Linked DNA regions of Caenorhabditis elegans. The protein of the gene in region 1 interacts with the protein of each later gene in a pairwise test. Each region holds a gene or a part of one and is shown on either strand. Other genes may lie near its edges.

Region 1 (7,951 bases):
TCAAGAACGCTTTGGGTCAATAGCCTGAAAACTTTAATACTCGGGAATTCTTTATTTTTTATTAATTACCCTTCAGCTCTTTCTGGTAGAATTTCCCTGATTTCATCGAGATTCATCACCAAACGACTTTCTCCATCATTCATCATTTTCACAATTTTCTGACGATAGTGAAAAGTGTCGGCTTGATTGTCCAAAAAGTTGAGATACTGCTCCGTGATTTCTTGTTTTCGAGCATCCTCGGCACGATCAATGAACATTCCATCAGCTTGTCCGTCCATTTTTTCTGAAAATAAGATGTTTTTAACAAAAGAAACTTAAAATTAAAAAATAAACGAATAGAAACTAGAAAGCACGGAGAAGAGCGGGGAAAATAGAAAAATTCGGCCCAAATTCGCGCATTTCTCATTCAAACAGCAAGGTTTCGCGCGCTCGCTCCGTAAACACCATGACGCAACGCTGCACTCAATGCACCTGAAAGTGATGTTTGAACATGTTTATTTTAAATAGCTATTAATAGCGAAATAATTTTATTTAAATAAAAATGCCTGGAATAAAATGAAAATTGTCTGAAATTATCAGTTCAAAATTGTCATTTCAAGTTTCAAAAAACATCAATAACATTTGTGCCCGTGATCTATGCAAAAGATCTCTTCCAAAAATCTCCTCAATTTTTCATAACAAATCACAAAAATGGAATCTATTGTTTCAGTACTCACAAACTCACAGACACAGATGCTTTTCCATTCTATTCATCCCATCTTTCTTATTTTCTCCCTGCCTCCCCCAGGACGCACCTTTCGTAATACATTTATACATAGAAATGGGAAGAAAGTGGTCACAAAAGCACACATATACACAAAATTTATGCCGTAAAGCTTTAAGTGCTTTGACTTTGTCTCCTAGAAACTTGAGCGCACCGCGTGCTGGAAACCATTGGAAACCGTTTGAAACAACATCTATCGGACCCTCCCGCCGCCGCTCGGGCCTTCACTCATTCATTCATTCACAAAGCTATTTTTTCTGTGCTTTTTCGTTTTATATTCGCAATACGATACGAATACGAAACCATGAAACTTCTACTCGCAATCTCGATTCTGGTACTCTGGATTTCAGAGACAGGTGAGAATTGAATCTAGATTTATAACAGGACTGGCGAAATTTTGAACGTGTTGCCTCCAAGAGTACTGTACCGGGTCTCGAAACGACTTTTTTAAGACAAAATCTATTAGCTTACTATTCTTCAAACGAGTGTGCACCTTTAAGGAGTACTGTAGTATTCAGATTGTTTCCGGGTTTTCTTTATTTAGTTGCTATAGTTTTTTCTTCCGTTTTTTAAGTATCAAAAAATGATAATTACACAAGTGAAATTACTTGAGAATGAAACAATTTTTAGAAAACAGGAGAAAACTGTTCTGAGAAAAGTTAGAAACTACCGTACTCTTCAAAGGCGCAAACACTTTTGCAAATTTAATAATGGGTAGTGTCGAGATCTGATCTAAGGGGCTTGGTGTGCGCCTTTAAGAGGTACAGTTTTTCCAGGGTTCAAAAATGTTTATTTGAAAACTAAGTTGAAAATAAACCGAAAAATCTGAAAAAAAAAGTCGTTACTGTACCGCTTAAAGGCGCGTACCTTTCACGATTTGCAAATATTTCTTTCGTGGCGAGACCTTGGAGCTTTGGAACATTGACTTTTTTTCAGAATCCACAACATGCTTCGTCCAAAATAGTATTCTCAATGCGTTCACTCAAGTCTGCCCGGGAAACATCTACACCTGCATGAAGTTCGACTGTAAAGTGAACAATCCGAAGAAATGTGAGTTTTAAGCCTGGAAATTATCTGTAAAATCTGAATTTTCAGTCCGTCAGACCACTAAAGGATGTAATGATCCTGGAAATGCCCTGGTCGCCTGTACTCAGCTTATGGTAAGTAAAAATAAATTTATATATTTTTTCGTGCAAAAATTAATTTCCAGACGCAATGCCAAGCCCAAGGTGGAACCGGACAATGCTACACTTGCAATGGAGATTACTGTAATTCCAGTCCAACGAGCTTCTCGATTCTCATCTCCATCGTCGTTCCTGCAATTTCCTACTTTTTAATTTTCTAATTCCAAAAAATTTAATTTAAGTTTTTGTGCCATTTTTGGCTTTTGAATTCGTTGTAAAACATCAGTAGGTTGTTTTTTTTTAGTGAAATAAATCGGGAAAAAATTGGAGCAAGTTCATCATGTTCATAGCACACGAAAATTGTATGGAAAGGGGTTGGGTGGAAAAAAAAGAAGGAAAGTCATGCAAATCAATCAAAAATTGACAAAAAAATGGGGGAAAAAAAGAGAAAATGTGAGCCCGTAAAAAATCTACAAATTGATTGAAATTCGAATTTTCGCCATCGAATTTCTCGCAGGTTTAAATAGAAAGTGACACGACCGTGGACGATTTACATGTGCAAATATGGATATAAAATGAGCAATTTTGTGAATCCCAACGAATCGATTGAATGGGGTATATGGAGGGGTAAAAGATCATAAAACAGGGAGAATGGATGGGATGGGATGTTTGGGATGGGGGATGAAGCTTCGGGTCACATCAGAGAGCAACATGATTTGCTTTGTCTTGATTTATTCTGCACATAATTCATTTCTCGTACGATTTCCGCAAATGTGACATTCACATTTTGATTGTTTTTTGCGGAACATTCAGTGAATGGACATGACCAACTTTCGGCTGAAATTTCAAAATTAATTATTTGAATAATGTTTTATTTGAAAATTGTATCACTTTCTATTTTGAAAAAAAATCGATTTTTCCAGAAAATGACTTTAAAATTTCTTTCTTTTTAGAAGTAAATTGTATTATTAAAATAAACTTTTTTCCCAAACAAAATTTGATAAAATGTTAAAAACTTTGTGTTTTGAATTTTCTGGAAATCGAAAGCTTTCGTTTTCCGATTAACAAAATATTTTTTGACCATGGCCATGCAATGATTTACGAAGCTGTACTCCCCGAGGAGGAGAGCTTCACATTGTTTAGAGTGAAAATAATTGTATTCCTTGTTGAAAAACTAGCAAAATTTTTGTTTTTTTTTGCAGTTCTCCGATCCAAATACATTGAATCTAACTCTTTTTGGCAGTGGTTCAGGCGAAAATCGTTGTGTTTGCAATTAAAAATTGCAGAAAAATATGTTTATTTTCACCTGAAACACAATGAATGAAAAATAGATTGACAAATTGCCGTAAATAGCGTAAATTCAAGAATTTTCGCCAAAAACTGTAAAAGCCTTTTCCTCGAGGAGTACACGAGCTGCGTAAATCGACACAAAGCTGTGTAAGAGGTTCTGCGGCTATTTTTCTTTTCAAAATATCAGTTTTTCGTATATTTTTTTAAAATTTAAATTTGATTTTTCAAATTAAAAAAGTCTCACCCAACGCCAATCCTTCCTCTGATCGTACTTGTCTCTGATGTGAAAGATCGCATTTGTTTCCAACTAACAAAATCGGCACATTTTCGGATCCCTGAAGAAATTGATTTTAGTGAATTCACAATTTTTCAATACATTTTTAAAGTTAAAAGCCAACCTTAACCCTGACAATTTGCTCTTTCATATTTCGAATATCATGAAACGTCTGTTGACTGGTGATCGAGTAGACAACAACGAAGCCCTGAAAATAAATTAAAAATAATTTTTAGATAATTAATTAAAATTCAAGATTTACCTGTCCATTTTTGATATAAAGATCCCGCATCGAAGAAAATTGTTCCGTTCCTGCAGTGTCCAGAATTTCCAGTACTGATGGTTGACCGTCCACCTGGAAATTGATTGTTTTCATTCTAATTTTTCTGTTTTCCGTAGTTTTTTAAATTTATTTTGCTTAAAATTACCCAAATTAATTGTTTTTTTGAACTTATTACTCGGTTTCTATTAATTTCCAGATTATTTGGCTCGAATTTACCAGATTTTACGAATATTCAGTCTAATTTTCCTTTTTCTTGGATTTTAGAATATATATGACTAGTTTCGGCAATTTTTCGGCGAATTTCTCCAAATTTAGATTTTTAAAACGCTTTTGCACTATTTTTTACTAGTTTCTAACATTTAAAAGGGAGTTTTGGGAAAATTAAAATTCTAAAGCAATTTTGAAGCTACGATCGCTCGTGTACTCCCCGAGGAGAAGGAGTTTACAGTTTTTCGTTAAAATGCTCGATTTTTGACTTTTTTTGCAAATTCGTTCGGTATTCAACAGATTTTCTCTTTTTTCCAGTTTTTTACAAGAAAACTGATGATTTTTTGATTAAAAACTACTGAAACCGATAATTTTTAGACTTTCGCCGAAAAACACATAGAATCCCCAAAAATCCTATAAACAAGAACTTTTATAGCTTTAAATACATGAAGAAGTAGTAAAAATGCTACAAAATCAAATATTGTAGGAAAAAACTGTAAAATTCTTTTTCTCAGGGAGCAAGTAATGGGAGTTCTAAAATCTTTCAATTTCAAAGCTTAATATAATGTTTTAATGAATTTTTAGAAACTTTAAACCATTCTGAAAATTTCAAGCGCCATGATTTCAACCGAATTTTCTTTTTTTTTTTTTAAATTTAAAATAAAATGAATCGCTCTCACTTCAATTTCCTTGCGATAAAAGTCCTCAATCGTCGGATCATACTTCTCGATGAATGTGCTACTGACAAATTGCACCGTCAACGCCGATTTTCCGACACCTCCACTACCCAGAACGACCACTTTGAACTCCCTCATTGAGAGTTTTTTGCTGAAAATCAATAAATTGGATTAGGTGTGATTGTGAATGTGGTGGGAAAAGTGAGAAAAGAAGAAGAACGAATTATTGTAGTAGAACTATTACATCACCACACACACACAGACAACAATAACCGGAAAAAATGGGAAAGAATGAAACGGAAGTTTGAAGAGATGATGATGATGGTATGAATGAAATGGAAATTGTGAAAGTTTTTTTGTTGTTTCTCGTTCGTTCGTCTTCCTTTTTTCATTTCATTATTGCTATAACATTCTCGGCAATTTGATGTTGAAAAGTAATAGGAAAACTGAAATTAAAACCTCGGATTTGAAAAGTTTTCAGGCTGAAATTGATTCTAAAGTGGAGTAGCAAATTTTTTGGGCAGCTATCTTTAGCTGAAATGTTCAAATTTGCCAACCTCTCAGAGCCACAACGGTCGAAAAATCAATATTTATGTATTAAAGCTCCTTTGTTTTGCAAATTTCGGTCGTTTATATCTAATTTTTTGATAATTTAGGCACATTTTCAGTCAATAGGTGTACAAACTAACAGAAAAATAATGTAAAAACTTTAGAAATCCTCTAAACGAGACAGTAATTGGATAAATATTAATTCCGGCCGCTAGGAATGGGACAAATTGGCCGAATTTGAGATTTTAGTTGAATTTATATATTTTTATTTAAATAACATAAGAATTTTTAAAAAATCAGTCCTAAAACAGACTAATTCTTAATTGTTTATATATATATATATTTATCCTAATATGAATGATTCATAGTTTTAGAAAAAGTGAAATGAAAAAATATATTTAGATGAATCATAGTTTTTTTTTTGAAAAAAAAACTATATATTCAAAATAATCAACTTTCGTTTTTAATGAAGAATTATGCAATTATTTTCGAAATTGGCCAAAATTAAAAAAAAAGCAATTTTCAAGTTTTTTTTTGGAAATATTTAAAATAGGAATCGACAAGGAATAAAGTTTTCAAAAAAAAGACAAAAACTTTTCGCCAAAAAAAAAATCAGAACAAAGAAGGGCGCAGGACGAGAAAAAAAAGGAAATGTTGGTGACGATGAGGGTGGGGGTAGAGCGTTGGGGGGTGTCCGTTGATGCCCTTGAGAAAATTATCGATTCGGGAGTCTGCCCCCGGCTGTCCTCTCCCCAAATTGTGTGCGTGTGGCCAACTACCACCCAACACATTCTTCTTGTTGCGCAGACTAACAGCACCAGCGTCAGCGCCTAAGAACAATGGACACATGAAATGACTGGAGCTTCTTCACGGGAGGGCGCCTGAGATGATTTGGTGGGGGGTCTATGTGGGTTTTAACGAGGAAAAAGAAAAAAGGAAAGGACGACCGGGCACACCAACTTTCGAGTCAACTGATAGAGAAGGAAAAAGCGAAACAAATAGACCGTCTTGAGACGAAGAGCACAAAATTCCGGCCCTGAGAGTGGCGCCGCGCAAACCAACCAGATGATGGGGAGCCGACCGCCGCCGCAAGGACCGGTCTTTGTGGAGAGTTGACGTGTTTTGCGTGCACCGGTACACTAGAGACGCGTCAACTGCATAGTTGGCGCAGCTTTTGTTGGGCTTTCAGAATATTTTTCTGTTATTTCAGTAATGGAAACTTTTCAGCTTATGTAAATCGGGCAAAATTATGCTTTTTCACTATTTTTAAGCTTAATTCTTTTTTTAAAAATCGATTTTAATGCAATTTTGCATTAATTTTAATTTTAAAAGTTTTGAAATGAGCTAGAAGAGAGAACGAAAACAGAAAAGTAAGGAGAAACAAAAACTTCGACTGGTTCTGTTTGCAAACAAAATCTAAACTACAGTGGTAAATTTTAAAGGAACATATTGAACTCTCTAAACTTGGTCCTACAACGAAGTGCGCTAAAATTCATGAAAATGATATTATTTTTATTTAAACTTTTCAGAAAAAATTTCTTCGCAATTTTTACTGTAAATTGAAAATAGAAATAGAAAAAAGCCTTTTGATTTTGCTCATTTCCTACTCAAATTCCAGTTTGTTTACGAAAAGAAAGTACGGTTTGCAAACCGTAGTTCGGTGCAATTTGTCGTAATGGTGAACTTACGTATCTGAGCTCTCGCTTTTTTATTTTGATTTATCGACTTTGGCATTCTCGAAATTGTTGTTCTTTTGCATTTTCTTTTGCATAAAACGCTTTTTTCTTCTCTAAAAATTAAACATTTTCTTACAGGTAACAGGAACTATGGCCAATGAACCCCAAAAATCTGATGATAACGGTCAGGCTGCGGAGGCTGTGGTGACTGATGACGAAATAGTTTTGCAGGACCAACAGTTGAAGACAATTGAAGATGAGGTTTGTTATTTTCCAATAGAAACGTTTAAATTATTCTTCTAATTTTCCAGCAAAAATCTGTTCCACTTGTTGCCACTTTAGCACCATTCTCTATTCTTTGTGCTGAATACGACAACGAAACATCGGCTGCCTTCCTTTCTAAAGCGACTGAGCTTAGTGAAGTGTATGGAGAGATCCGCTACATTCGTGGAGACGGAAACTGCTTCTATCGTGCAATTCTCGTTGGACTTATTGAGATAATGCTGAAAGATCGAGCCAGACTCGAAAAATTCATTGCGAGTAGCAGGGATTGGACTCGGACACTTGTTGAACTTGGATTTCCGGATTGGACCTGCACAGATTTCTGTGACTTCTTTATCGAATTCCTTGAGAAAATCCACAGTGGAGTGCATACCGAGGAAGCTGTTTACACGATTTTGAATGATGATGGCTCTGCTAATTATATTCTCATGTTCTTCCGTCTCATAACTTCAGCATTTTTGAAACAAAACTCAGAAGAATATGCTCCATTCATTGATGAGGGAATGACAGTGGCTCAATATTGCGAACAGGAAATCGAGCCAATGTGGAAAGATGCCGATCATCTGGCAATTAATTCTTTGATCAAAGCCGCCGGCACAAGAGTTCGCATCGAATACATGGACCGTACTGCTGCTCCGAACGGTGGTTGGCATTACGACATTCCATCTGACGATCAACAAATTGCTCCGGAGATCACACTTCTCTATCGTCCAGGCCACTACGATGTCATTTACAAAAAGGATTCGACTGAAGCCTCTGAAATTGAGAATTGATTTCATTTTACTGTAAATTTTTCAACCGATTCTCTTGTCTTCTCTCCCGATGT
Region 2 (6,369 bases), on another chromosome or scaffold:
CTGATCGATTTATCACCTTGCTTCTTCCACTTTTCCCCGTTCATTTTATCGTTCCTCTCATCGTATTTTTTCTGTTCTGTTTCCACCATCAAAAAGTCATAAAACCATCGGTTTTTTTTGCATGCAAATACTCACCTATATCCGTCCCATCTTACTATTTGTTATCCCATCATCACCACTCTAATCTTTCTTTGTTGTTGTGTGTTCCATTTTCGTTTTATTCATATTTTGTCTGAAAATATGTGTTTGAAAATGTTTCCGTTTTGAAAACAAGACCCATCTTCAGAGTCTTCTGCATTTTTCTTCATTTTTTCTTCTGCTTCTTATGTTTCCTCTTCTAGTTCTAAACCTCATTAAACTGCGGCAAAGCGGGGGTCCCAGACCCGAAAAAAAACTAAGAAAAGAGTCCATTATTTTGATATATTTGTTTCCTCCAGTTTCTTCGATCATCCTTTCTCCATTGGCTCCACATGTATCTCCACTCTTTTTTCTAACTTTTCACAGGAAGTGTTCTTTGCATTTTGAAATTTATGATGACTTGCCTTTGCAAAATATTTCTTGCAAGAATTTGTGAGATTTTTTCATCTAAAAAATATTTGCAGTTGTTGGTATGTAGAAGGACATGTTATTTTAATAGTTTGGAACTCTGATACTTACTTAAAAATACTTTTAAAAATGAGTTTCGAATTTTAGAGCAGGGACGCTCGGAAATTTCCAAAATATTCTACTACCGGACACCTCTACATACTTTGGAGGTATTACAAAAAATGAATTAAACTTGAAAATTAAAGAGGCCTCGAATTTAGTCAAAAGATATGCTCATATTTAATGATCTCCTAATTTCGATGACTACATAGTTCCAACTGATGGTAATTTCTACAAGCTGTAAGGAGTATTAATCAACTTGACCTAATAATTTTAAATTTAATTAGTTACCCCATTCATTTAAATGTTGACCTGCCTTCTAAACCATATAAACCTATCATGCTGTCATCTCATCATCATCCCGTTTAGTACATACTAGCCGTGTGTTTCTAACTGTCTTTTGACATATCTTCCTTTTTTTCGGTAGCAGCTTCTCTTATCTGTTTCCATCTCTTCGTTGAATCTATTCCTCCAGCCACTCAATTCCTACCAAAACCCGCGACTTTTTCGACGCCTCATCTGATGACAAGGTTACTTCAACTTTAGAGACCTCCCAAATGTCCCACTCCATGTATCTTATGACTATTGTTTTACAATTTGGAATCACAATTTATAGGAAATTGAATGTCTCGTTTCCACACCTTTTCTTCTATGAATGGTCTCATCTTCTGTCGGCGATTGACTTCTCAGTACTCATTTTGACATGAGTGACCTTTTTCTTGTTCGAATCTATTGAAATGTATTGCATAAACTTTAGTTTTTGTTCCTTCTTTCTCTGTGGCATTCATCTGTTCTTACGAATTCTTGTAATAATCTTCTACATCAAAAATCTTTTTTTTTGTAATTGATAAATAATTGATCTTCTTTATCTTCTTGTATTCCCCTCTTCCCAATTTTTTCCCACCCATTTTTGCAAGTTTTCGTTCAATGTCTCATCATTCCACACGGTGACTCAAAATAGCATTTTCGAATTCTATTTTCGGTTATTTTTAATTTTATCCGAGTATATAAAATTAATGTGGAGCAGTTGAAAACAACAAGTGGGGGTAGGCTGAAATAAGTGTCGCAAAATATTTTCAAAAATGTTCGCAGTGATCAAAATAGTTTTCCGTTTCTTTTTTGTTTATTTGAAGCTATGTTTTGTGTATAGATTAACACTTTTTGTTTAAGTTACGCTGTAATAGTTTGTTTTTCTGGAAAAATAATGGGAACTGCAACAAGAAAATGCTCTTGTTCTAAATTATACTCTACAATATAATTTCTCTTTTCGAATTGTGACACAAAAACTGAAGAACAAAGACAATAAAGTTCGGAAATTGAAATTGAGTTCTCTTGAAATTTTTCTGAAAAAAAAGCACACATTTTTCCTTTTTTTCTGAATTTTCCGAAAAAAAGTTGTCCAGTTTCAAAAACAAAGCAAAAACAAAAACAAAGTTCCTTATTTTAAAAAGTTATTTTTTCCATTCTAGAGTGCTTTTTGAGCATTTCCGTTTCGTTCACCCAATCTGTGGAACCAACAAAAGAAAGCGTGGGGCAGAAAAAGGAAGAATCGCAGACGTCATCCTTCTCTCTTGTGCTCCAGAACATGATGATGATGATGCGGATAGGAAAAGGATAGTTTTTGAGAATTTTTTTGGGAAAAGTTTTCACACCATATTTTGAAAGATGTTTTTTCTCTATTTGAATTTATTTTCATTATTGAAACTGAAATTTCCGGGGTTTCCCATTTTGAAATTTTGAGAACAAGATATTCAGTTAAGAGAATAAATTCAATTATAAAATTGGATTTCTGTAGAAAATTTGTATCATCGTAGATAAAAAAAAAATGTAACGACAAAAATTGTATTCATTCATTTTTTATTTTCTACTGCTATTTTACATTCCGTTTCTGTTTTTTTTTTTTTGGAAAAATAACTTCATATATCCTATTTTCCTCTAAAAGATCCGTGTTCTCAAAATATCAAGAAAATTTCCTGATTCTTTCATTTTCAATAAACCGAACCCTTTGATCAAACCACAGTTCTTGCCAGTAGGCGTTTTCTCACGCATTTCAAGTATCTGCTCCTTTAAAAATTTTAAATTCAGAAATTCGAATCTTTTTGATGAATTCCTTTTTCAAACATTGTTGATTTTAAAATATTCTACTATCAAAATCGCGAAAAAGAGAAGGAATTCGTTGTTTTCACCAAAAAAAATGTATAACGGGAGTCTAATTGATTAGATCTGTCTTTTTTCTTTTTTCGTGACAAAAATGTGAATCCATGTATCTTGAAGCATTGCTTTTCAAGGTTTATGAACTTTCAAACCACCTCTGTTATCAATTTTTGAGATCAGTGAAACGTGAAAAAGAGGAATAGTTCCAGTAGAAAGGAAGGCATTTTTATTGGACTTTTTTTGAAAACTAGCTCAGTAGGAATAGAAAATAGATATATATTTTCCTGGAATGTGCTCTTGTTTTTCTCTAGTTCTCATTCCTAAAAGTATTCTGGAAGTGTCTGAAAAATTATGTCATATCTCTATCGCGCACAACTTTTTCACAATTAAAAACGGAAATATTTTCTTTGAAGCTCTTTTTATGATTATTGTTTTTTGTTGTCTTCCTTTCCTTCGTTGATCATGGAATACTCTTGTAATTGAAACCGCTTCAATGAGCTCTTTCTTTAATTTATTCTCAAATATTTTCAGACAAACTCTCAGAAAGTTGACTGAAATCAAGTCGACGCAATGTCGTCGACGAGCAGTATATGCTCTTCAAATGATGCCGATTTCATTGTTGACACCAGAATTCCGGCATCAATACGTAGAGATATTGATCGATTTTCAGTTTTTATAAATCGACTTCGGTCAACTTTGGATCTCAATTCTTCGGTTGTTGGTATGTCTGAAAATTAAATTTTTTTAAAAATTATTTATAGAGTGTAGCGGAAATTCAGGAAAACGCGCAAGGTTAAGAAAATACAACTAGATTTTTAAATGTAATGTTTCGGTGAATGGTTTAAAATTTGAAACTATTTTTCAGCAAAGCCTTGAAAATCGAAAAGCCTATTTAATAATGTACTAACAGTTATTTTGGAGCACTAAATGTTTTATCTGATCCTTGAAGTTTCCTACGATCGAACTGTAACTTCCAGAGCTTACATGTTTTTTTTTTAAATTAACGTTATGTAATACTCAACTTCCTCATCTGAAATTACAAATTTTGCAGACGGTGAATCAATGTGTGTAAATGTGCATGCATCATTGGAAATGGTGTCAGAATCCATGCGGGACTTGTTTAAATACTCTCAATTCAAAACAAATCCCATCATTTTGCTGTCTCTTCAACTTGTGCAAGCCGTCAAAGGTATGTGTAAGTGAGAGCATATTCTCTCATCTTCTTCTCTTCTGTTGCTCTTCTGCACACATTTCTCATTTAATTTTACTCTCTCTTTTCGTGGAAAAAGACAAAAAAAAGTTGTTTTATGTGCATCATCACAGGAATACTAAACGTATTTCATTAGGCCAATGTTCATTTTATTTCCGGCATCATTTGATAGTTCCTCTGATATTCCAATATATTTCAGTTTCAGAATTACTATTATTAGGTTTAATTCTAGATACATGTTATGTAATTGTTTATTAGGAGTTTGAGCTTTTACATAATTTTGTAAAAATTGTAACGATTTGACTTTATTGGCGTAGAATTTTATCAGTCATAAAACCTACAACGATTTCAAAAAAATTAATCTCAAAGTTTCATTCAATCAGTATAATCAATTTGTAATGCTGTTCCGTACACTGACACCAGTCTTCTCTGAACCTGTCAAGAGAAGTCTGAAAAATTGTTCATTCCAGACTTGAAATTTGATACGTGCTCTGTGGATACGACTCCGGTTCTGAACATTATCGATCAGCTGGAATCAGCTGTTTTAAACATCATTCTGTGAGTTCCCGTCACCTTCATTCCCACACACCCACATTTCTCACCTCGTTCTTTTTTCTTTCGATCTTCCTCTCTCAATGATTTGTTTCGGTTTGATTTTTGAGAGTTAGACGTTTTTCCCTCTACCGGTAGGAGGAATGCGTGTTTAGGTGAAATATGGATTTTGAACGAGGAAGGAATTGGATAAGGTAATTCAAAAACTCTCGAAAATTCTCTAAAACATTGTATTAATTAGAAAATTTAAATAGCTTGTTTTTTTAATTGGCAGTAGCCTTGAGAAATTGTTTTTAACCTGGTAGTTCGGAATTATATTTTTTCTTGCATCAAAAGATTGTTTAAAAAAATCAATTCAAGTTTTATATTTTTCGGAAAAATTGATTGAGCTTATCCTTTCTGTAAACTGAAACAATTCAAAAGTTAAACAAGCCATTTATTCATTCGATTTATTTTTGCATGGGAATATTGATCATTCACATCGTTTCAATTGAATGATGCTGTTTCAAATGTTCAAAATATTTTCTCTGCAAACGCTGCTCCGACGAGACGCTACTAGATTAACGGTCTACGCTCATATACCAAATCACGCATCCAGTAAAAAAGTGTGTCTAGTCGCGCCTTTTCTGTACCTTTTTGAAATATTTAATTGTTTAAAACTTTCTCACACAGATGGAAATGCCAATAAATATTGGCATTTCACTTTTCTGGTTATAACTAAAATGTTAGATTATTCAAGATTTAACAAAAAACGTTGTTTCCAACGAATTTAGATTCTTTCTAAGTAGAAAACTACGCAGGGTTTTTTAAAAATCTGAAAAGAGCGTTTAGTGTTATTGAAATTAAATTCAAAATTATTCATTATTCATTTTCAGAAACCGTCATATTGTTTCATCGGTTCATCATACGCCGAGTAGAAGTTCAACGTTAGGTCGCTGGAAACAAAATGTAAGCTGCATTCTGATCTACAAAAAAATCTTAAAATTGATATTCCAAAAATTTCGAGAAACGTTGTTTTTTGGTAGCGGTTGCTCTCCTGTTTCGTTTACATACACATACGTATTTTGTTTTTGTATGTGTCAATCCATGGTTTTCTATTTTCCCTTTTCTTCAACTTTTCGTTCTTCAATTCACTCCCAACCTTTATTCATAGTTCTTCTTTTTCAGTTCATTTACTAAATTATTTGTTTAATGCGGTCTCCCAGAAATAGGTCCTATGGGAGAGTAAGTTGAAACATATTTGATTAATAAGATTTTGAATAGTATAAAACAAAATTTCCTGCTGAAAAAGTGAAACATTTGAACATCTATTTATGTATGAGGAAAATGAGTTTCAGATTTTCTAAATCGTATTTGAAGTTCTTTAAATCCCAAGTCAGCGATGTCAAAATAGCAAACCAAAACCATGAGTCAGATGACAATATTCTCCTCAAATTTTCCAAAAATTATGCAAATTTTTTTATCTTATGTTCCTTGTGATCTGTTCAAATTTATTTCGAAAATTGTAAAACACAATTATTATAATATTTTTCTATTAGAATGAAACGTTTTATAAAAGCAAAATACGAAAATAATCCGGTAATGTTAACTAATAAACTTTCAAATTTAACATTTTTGATAGCAAGATTTCTGAAAAATGTTCCTAGTGAAAACTGTTCACAGTTGTTTTAAATTGTGGTAAAAGTTACTTTTTTGAATTTAAGTTTTGCTGCCTTGAATACAGTAACCTATTTATTCAATGACAGTTTAAACTAAAACATTTAAAAAAAAAGAATGTTTACTATTTTCTATAAAACTGCAATATTCTG

Evidence for each region. The genes of interacting proteins can lie anywhere in the genome.
Region 2: the proteins of rap-2 (region 1) and spv-1 interact in a two-hybrid assay, tested with the Caenorhabditis elegans proteins (one study listed by BioGRID).

What each region holds. Positions count from the first base shown.
Region 1 is NC_003283.11:15,059,317-15,067,267, forward strand, and holds rap-2 (small monomeric GTPase), read right to left. Parts: upstream 4,772-7,951; 5' UTR 4,757-4,771; coding exon 4,622-4,756; intron 3,807-4,621; coding exon 3,714-3,806; intron 3,660-3,713; coding exon 3,576-3,659; intron 3,513-3,575; coding exon 3,422-3,512; intron 2,725-3,421; coding exon 2,582-2,724; 3' UTR 2,172-2,581; downstream 1-2,171. Other genes in the region: mcm-3 (DNA replication licensing factor MCM3), read right to left, coding at 1-24, 70-278; nssp-71 (neuronal small secreted protein), read left to right, coding at 1,068-1,119, 1,700-1,813, 1,859-1,923, 1,974-2,108; C25D7.9 (Transcriptional regulator), read left to right, coding at 5,819-6,001; otub-1 (Ubiquitin thioesterase otubain-like), read left to right, coding at 6,994-7,104, 7,155-7,898.
Region 2 is NC_003280.10:7,925,656-7,932,024, reverse strand, and holds the start of spv-1 (Spermathecal Physiology Variant), read left to right. Parts: upstream 1-3,369; coding exon 3,370-3,520; intron 3,521-3,602; exon of another isoform or gene 3,603-3,680; intron 3,681-3,850; coding exon 3,851-3,988; intron 3,989-4,479; coding exon 4,480-4,567; intron 4,568-4,723; coding exon of another isoform or gene 4,724-4,755; intron 4,756-5,436; coding exon 5,437-5,509; intron 5,510-6,369.